2 linked regions of the Stegostoma tigrinum genome follow. The protein of the gene in region 1 interacts with the protein of each later gene in a pairwise test. Links are inferred from orthologs where the notes say so. Each region holds a gene or a part of one and is shown on either strand. Other genes may lie near its edges.

Region 1 (3,749 bases):
TTTCTTTTCAAAATTAGTTAAAATCCTTATTTTCATTTTGTGGGGGAAAAGTTTGCAGAGATGAAGTGATACATTTAAGGAAAATGCAAAGGGAAGAAAGAAGAAACTGTACCACAAAGGAAGATATGAGCGAAAAAAGACCTGACAGGGCCTCAGAGTGAAGACAGAAGAAAAGGAATACGAAAGAGGGTCATTTTGGAGTGGAATAAGTAAAAAAAGAAGAAAGAAGAAAGTTTAAAAATGCATGCGTAGAATAGGGTGAGAAGAATTTACTTGATTTTTTTTTGTTTGTCTGAATTTTTGTGCAGGAAATGTGGGGAGGTGGTGGGAAAACACTACAAGAAAACACCCCATAAAAGTCTTCAAGCCAGAAGGAAATGCCCACAGTCAGCCATGTCGGGGGGGGGGGGGGGGGAGGTGAAGAATACAAGGGAATATTAAAAAGACAGGCAGGAAGAGGAAGTGGGGAAAAGAAAAGCAATATTGAAAAAGGGGGAAGGGGTAAGAGGGAGAAAGTTAAAAAGGGTAGGGGAGAATATTAAAAGAGACAGGAAGAAAGGGGAGAACATTTTTAAAAATGACCGGGAATATTTAAACAAGGTGGAGATATTGAGTGTAAGAAAGAAAAAGGAGGGTATGGAAAGGAAAGGAATATTTAAAAGAGAAAAGGAACAGAAAGAAGGGGCAAGGTGAAACTATTTTGAGAAGGAAATAGAGGGAGAAATATTTACAAGAAGTCAGAGAAGGATATTTAAAAAAATGAGGGGGGAATGTTCTAAAAAAAGAAAAGGGAGGGGATATTTAAAAAACAAAGGAAAGGAATTTCAATAAAGGGAAATAGAACATTTTTAAAGAAGAAAGGGAAGGGGGTAGATAGAATGAGTATTTTGAAAAAACGGGAGGGGAAGAGAGAGAGAGAGGATATTTAAAATAAAAAGGAAGGGAGGGGGAAGAGAAGGCATATTTAAAAACAGAAAGGAAGAGAGAGAATAGAGGGAATATTTAAGAAATGAAGGGGAGAAGAGAGGCAATATTTAAGAATTGAAGGGGAGAGGAGAGGGAATTTAAGAAAAGGAAGGAAGGGGGAGGAGAGGGAATTTTTAAGAAAAGGAAGGTCAAAAGAGAGGGAATATTTAAAAAAAACAAGGGTAGGAGGAAGAGAGAGAAAACATTTAAGAAAAACATAAGCTTTGTAGAGAAGGGGAATGTTTAAAGGAAAAGGGGATTTATTTAAGAAAGGGAATGGGGGAAGAGGGGAAATTTCTGGTTTTAAAGTAGGCGGAGGAGAAAGAACATTTTGGAAGGAGCAAGGATATATTAAGAGGGAATTGGTGGGCAGGGGGGTCAGAGGAAAACACTGTTGGGGGGGTGGATGTCAAGTTAATAACAGGAGGATTCAGAAAGAAAACTGTTGCTGTGGGGGGTGTCAAGTTAATAAAAAAGGGGGATTTAAAAAGAAAACTGTTGTTGTGGGGGGATGTCAATTTAATTAAAAAAAGGGGGATTTAAACAAAAACTGTTGTTGTGAGTGGGGGATGTCAAGTCAATAACGGGGGATTTAAAAAGGAAACTTGTGGTGGGGATGTCAAGTTAATAACAGGGGATTAAAAAAGAAAAGTGTTGCTGGGCGGGGTGTCAAGTTAATAACAGGGGGATTTAAACAAAACTGTTGTTATGGGGGGGGGTGTCAAGTTAATAAAAGGGATTAAAAATGAAAACTGTTGCTGTTTCGGAGATGAAAACGCCCCGTTCGAGCTTTTGAAATTCTGGGGGGGGGGGGGGGGGGGGGGGGGGTGAAGAGAAAGAAAACCGTGACCCCCGCCGCGATCGAGGTCATTTATTTTATTTTATTTATTTATTTACCCCGCAACCTTAGTTTTCCAGTTGCCCCTCCCCCCTCCTAAAATGGCGGCCCTACCCCTCCCCCCACCACACACACAGACACAACCACCTCCCGCCGGCGCGAGAGGCCGCCCGCAACCGCCCCCCCCCCCCCGCCGCCAGGTCCGTTTCAAACCGCCGCGCGCCGCTTCCAACCGTAAAACCCAATTTGAAATTCAACCGTCAACCGTCGCCCCCACCCCGCGCCGCGCGCCGCCCGCCCGCCGCGCGCCTTTTTTCACCGCCCCCCCCCATCCTCCTCCTCCTCCTCCTCCTCCTCCTCACCTTGCTACGAGACGATGTTTTTTTTTGTTGTTGTGTGAGGGGGGGGCGGAATTCTAAAGGTGGGGGGTTTGCGTTTGTGTGTGTTGTGGTGGTGGTGGTGGTGGGGGGGGGGGAAGAAATGTGTGGGTTTCTTGAAACGGAACAGGAACGGTTTCTCTCCGTTTTTCCAGGCCCCCCCCAGGGGCGGGCACGCGCGCCACACACACACACACGCGGGGACACGGTTTTGTTTTTTTGGGGGGGGTCCTGCGAACGGCGGCTGCGTCACTTCCGCTTTCTCCGCCAGACCCCATCCCCTTTTTTCCTGGGTCCGTGAGGTCACTTCCTGCCACCACCTCCTCCTCCTCTTCCATCGTTGACATCCCATAATTGGTGGAAGACAAGGTAAGATTCCCTTTCCTTTCTTCTGGTGGTGCATCAACTCTACCCCCCCCCCCCAACTCAATCCATCTTCCACCCCCCCCCATTGCAACCATTAGTAACACTCCCCCCCCCCCCATCACCACCATCTCTCCACCTCACCCCCCCCCATCACCACCATCTCTCCACCTCACCCCCCCCCATCACCACCATCTCTCCACCTCACCCCCCCCCATCACCACCATCTCTCCACCTCACCCCCCCCCATCACCACCATCTCTCCACCTCACCCCCCCCCATCACCACCATCTCTCCACCTCAACCCCCCCCCATCACCACCATCTCCCTACCTCACCCCCCCATCACCACCATCTCTCCACCTCACCCCCCCCCATCACCACCATCTCTCCACCTCATCCCCCATCACCACCATCTCTCCACCTCACCCCCCCCATCACCACCATCTCTCCACCTCACCCCCCCCATCACCACCATCTCTCCACCTCAACCCCCCATCACCACCATCTCTCCACCTCACCCCCCCCCATCACCACCATCTCTCCACCTCACCCCCCCATCACCACCATCTCTCCACCTCACCCCCCCCATCACCACCATCTCTCCACCTCAACCCCCCATCACCACCATCTCTCCACCTCACCCCCCCCCATCACCACCATCTCTCCACCTCACCCCCCCATCACCACCATCTCTGTACCTCACCCCCCCATCACCACCATCTCTCCACCTCATCCCCCATCACCACCATCTCTCCACCTCACCCCCCCATCACCACCATCTCTCCACCTCACCCCCCCCATCACCACCATCTCTCCACCTCAACCCCCCATCACCACCATCTCTCCACCTCATCCCCCATCACCACCATCTCTCCACCTCACCCCCCCATCACCACCATCTCTCCACCTCACCCCCCCCCCATCACCACCATCTCTCCACCTCACCCCCCCATCACCACCATCTCTCCACCTTAACCCCCCCATCACCACCATCTCCCTACCTCACCCCCCCATCACCACCATCTCTCCACCTCAACCCCCCATCACCACCATCTCTCCACCTCACCCCCCCATCACCACCATCTCTCCACCTCACCCCCCCATCACCACCATCTCCCTACCTCACCCCCCCATCACCACCATCTCTCCACCTCACCCCCCATCACCACCATCTCTCCACCTCACCCCCCATCACCACCATCT
Region 2 (3,749 bases), on another chromosome or scaffold:
TGGTCTGACTAGTGCCTTGTACACTTTTAGCAAGACTCCCTAATTTTATTCTCAATTCCTTTTGAAATAAAGGCCAACATTCCCTAATACCAACCGAACTTGGATGGTAGCTTTTTCCCATGGACTGAGCAGGGGGAGGGGTTTGCTTGACCATTTCAGAGGGCAAGTAAGAGTCAGACACATGTTAAAGTTTTGGGTCCAATGACCCTTCCTCAGAAACAATGCATCAGTATGTTCTGAAATTTCTGAACATCATGGGAGCTATCTGAATGGCCTGGCCATTATTTAATCTGTCAATGAGTCACAGATATGTCATGGCACATATGAAGGCCATTCACCCAGTGATGTTTATTACCGGTCTTCAATTGATCAATTCAAATAATGCCATTTTGCTACCTTCTCCCCATAACACCAGTTCTGAGGAAGGGTCACTGGACCAGAAACGTTCATTTGCTGCCATGCCTGCTGAGCTCTTCCAGCAATTTCTGTTCTGTTTCCTGATTTACAACATCCGCAGCTCTTTCCTTTTGTTTAAGAGTTAAACAAATGACTGACATGAAAGGGAAGGGAAGGGAAACAAGGTGGAATTAGATGCAGACTGACAATGATTTGAATAAGGCAGGTGTGAGAGGCTCAACCCTCCAGCTGTTCCCACGACGACAAGATGCAGCACGACCCCTTTAAGGGACACTGGGTTCGCACTAGAATCTCGCGAGATTACTGTTGGTCTGCGGCTCTGATTGGTGGAGGCGGGAAAACAGCGCTGGTTGGTGGAGGCTGGAGGTTGGTGCTGATTGGCGGGTGCCTAGCGGCGGCTCTGATTGGCGGAGGCGGGCTGGCTGTAAGATGGCGGCTTAGTGAGACTCCGAAGGAGGAGGAAAAGCAAAAAGGAGCCCGGGCCTCGGTGGGGGAAGCCGAGCCGCGTGCCTTCACGTCAGGTCACCCGCCCGTCTGGCCGGCTGGTACCTCCAGCGCTGCCACCTGAGGTAAGCAAGGAACCGGGCGGCTGGGCCCCGCCAAGTGAGGGGGCGAAAGAAAGAAAGGCGCGTCCCCCCCCACCCCGTTCAGGTAGCGCGCGCTCCCGCGGGTGGTTAGGGCCGTGCTCGCACCCGAGGCAGTGCGCGCTGACGTCAGGTCCCCGGCCGCGGGATCTGGGTTCGGGCCGACACCGAGGATCGAGCGGGGGCAAGGCCGCAGGCGTCGGCGGGCTGCAGGGAAGCGGACAGGCAGGCTCCAGAACGAACCGGGCCCAGGATGGTGAGAGCGGGGGATGGGAGGGAGCTGGGTGAGGGCCCGGGGAGTGCTTGGCCATCGGCTCCGGCAGCACTCAGCCGCCGAGGCTCCAGTGGCCTGCACGCCAGTAAGGTACGTTTGTGTAGCGCCGAATCGTAGAGAGATAGACGCAGCCGTCAGGGATCACTGATATTTATTACCATTCGCGCTGATCCCGCTCCTCATATTCCTCTGTTCATTCACTGTCCAAACATGAGTCTACCCCAGGCTTAAATATAGTCAACAATCAAGCCTCCACAATCCTCTGGGTTAGAGAACCCCACAAAGATTTAGAATCCTCTCAGTGAACTGAGTTTTTCCTTAACATAAAGGTTCAGAGTTAAGCAATTCATCTTATCAAATCTGTGCTATTATTTCACGAGTTTATAGCTTATCCTCAACTCCCTTTTTTAGCCTTTTCCCCAATACCCTCGATTCCTTTACTGATTGCAAATCTGTAAATTTCAGCCTTGAAAATAATGACCCAACTTCAACAGCTGTCTACAGTACAGTTCCACAGATACACTACTTCCCAGAAGAAGAAAGTCCTCATTTCTAATTTAAGTGGATGGCCTTTTATTCTGAGATAACACCCTCACATTAAAGGAAAAACGCTCCCTTTCTATGCTGTAAGGATCCCTCAAAATCTCATGTTCTCAAATAGTATCCTGTTCTTCCTTTAAATTCCAATGAGTCCAGGTCTAACCTATTCAACCTTTTCCTCTTTGGCCTAATGGTATTATCAGTAGATAACTAATCCAGAAAATTAGTTAATTTCCTGGTTCAAATCCCGTCACAGCAGATGGTGAAATTTGAATTCAATAAAATATCTGGAATTTAGAATCTACAGTCTAATGATGGCCATGAAATCGTAAACCCATCTGGCTCAATAATATACTTTGGGGAAGGAAATCTGCCATCTTCATGTGACTCCAGACCCACAGCAGTGTGGTTGAATCTCATATGCCTTCTGAAACGGCCTAGCCAGTCACTCAGTTCAAGGACAGCTAAGGATGTTGCCCATGTCCCACAAATAAATTTTAAGAAAAAAACCCTCCATACCCAGAGCTGCCTATATGTCTACCCTTGGGTCACAGGACCAAAACAGTTGTGGTCTGACTAATGCCTTTCATGGTTAAAGTAAACAATAGAGTATTTTTAATATTCTATTCCCCTTGAATTAGAGGCCAAGAATCCATATTACCTGTCGAGCTTATGTGTTAGCATTTTGTGATTTACGCACAAGGAGCATCAGCACCCTTTAGGTTAGAGAACTTCAAAAATAAATGCTTATAGACAGTATGCTGAATAATGTTCAGCTTTTCTATTCTTCCAGTTGAAGTGCATAACATTTCCCCATATGATATTCCATCTGCCAATTTTTTTGACTAATTATTTAACCTGTCCTTATCTCTGCAACATTTTGTCTTTCCTTTTTTGTGTTGATCGTAAACTTGGCTCCAGTACATTCACTTCCCCCATCAAAGTCATTAATGTATATTGTAAATAATTGTGGCCCTATCTCAGATCCATGTGCTTCAGTGGTTACAAGTTGCTATCCTTAAACTGCATCCCCCCATATCCCAACTTCCTGCCTTCTATTACTTGATCGATCCTGTATCTGTGCTAATGTACTACCCCAACACCACAGGCTCTTGTCTTAATAAGTAGCCATGCATGTGTTACCTTATCAGACACATTTGAAAATACAAATATATTATATTTACGTGTTCTCCTCTTATGTATCCTGTTTAAAGAAGTTGAATAAATGTGTCAGATGTGATATCCCCTTTGTGAAGCCTTGCAGACTGTGCTTGAACATATTTATTACCAAATGTTCTGTTATTACATTTTTTTAATAGACGCTCACATCTTCCCAATGATAGGTGTTGAGCTCTGATGGAGAATCATCTAGACTCAACATTAATTTTCTCTCTGCCTGGATGCTGCCTGACCCGCTATGATCTGCAGCATTTTTTGTTTTCAGCATAGATTCCAGCATCTGCAGTAATTTCTCCTGGATGTTAAGCTAATTGGCCTGTAGTTGTCTTTTTTGTTTTGCTGTCTCCCTTTTTGTACAAGGCTATTACATTGATAGTTTTCCATTCCTCTCGGACTTGTATAACCTATTGGAATTCTTGGAAGACTACTACCTTTAACCTAGAATGCATCCCATCAAGTCCAGGGGATTTAACTGCCTTTAGACTCATTGCTTTACCTAGTACTTTTTCTCTAGTGATTTATTTCCCCTGCACCCCTGATATTGTCCATTGATCATTTAGTATTTTTGGAATGCTGTTAGTGCTTTCTATCTTGAAGACTAATGTGGAATATTTTCTCAGTTTGTCTACTGTTTCCTTGATATTACTTTATAGTTTGCTCTCAATATTGCTTTTTCTTCTCTTTACCAATACTCTGGCTTACCACAAAAACATTGTGTTTTTTTCAATTTGGATTTGATACTGTCCTTAATACCA

Evidence for each region.
Region 2: the proteins of pogzb (region 1) and transcriptional regulator QRICH1-like interact in binary tests that used the Homo sapiens proteins (3 or more experiments, as listed by UniProt). The two-hybrid records come from large-scale screens. The link is inferred for Stegostoma tigrinum from reciprocal best matches to the Homo sapiens genes POGZ and QRICH1.

The regions. Positions count from the first base shown.
Region 1 is NC_081400.1:4,828,015-4,831,763, forward strand, and holds the start of pogzb (pogo transposable element with ZNF domain), read right to left. Parts: upstream 2,435-3,749; 5' UTR 2,167-2,434; intron 307-2,166; exon of another isoform or gene 1-306. UniProt on the Homo sapiens protein: Plays a role in mitotic cell cycle progression and is involved in kinetochore assembly and mitotic sister chromatid cohesion.
Region 2 is NC_081364.1:994,085-997,833, reverse strand, and holds the start of transcriptional regulator QRICH1-like, read left to right. Parts: upstream 1-1,134; 5' UTR 1,135-1,254; coding exon 1,255-1,257; intron 1,258-3,749. UniProt on the Homo sapiens protein: Transcriptional regulator that acts as a mediator of the integrated stress response (ISR) through transcriptional control of protein homeostasis under conditions of ER stress.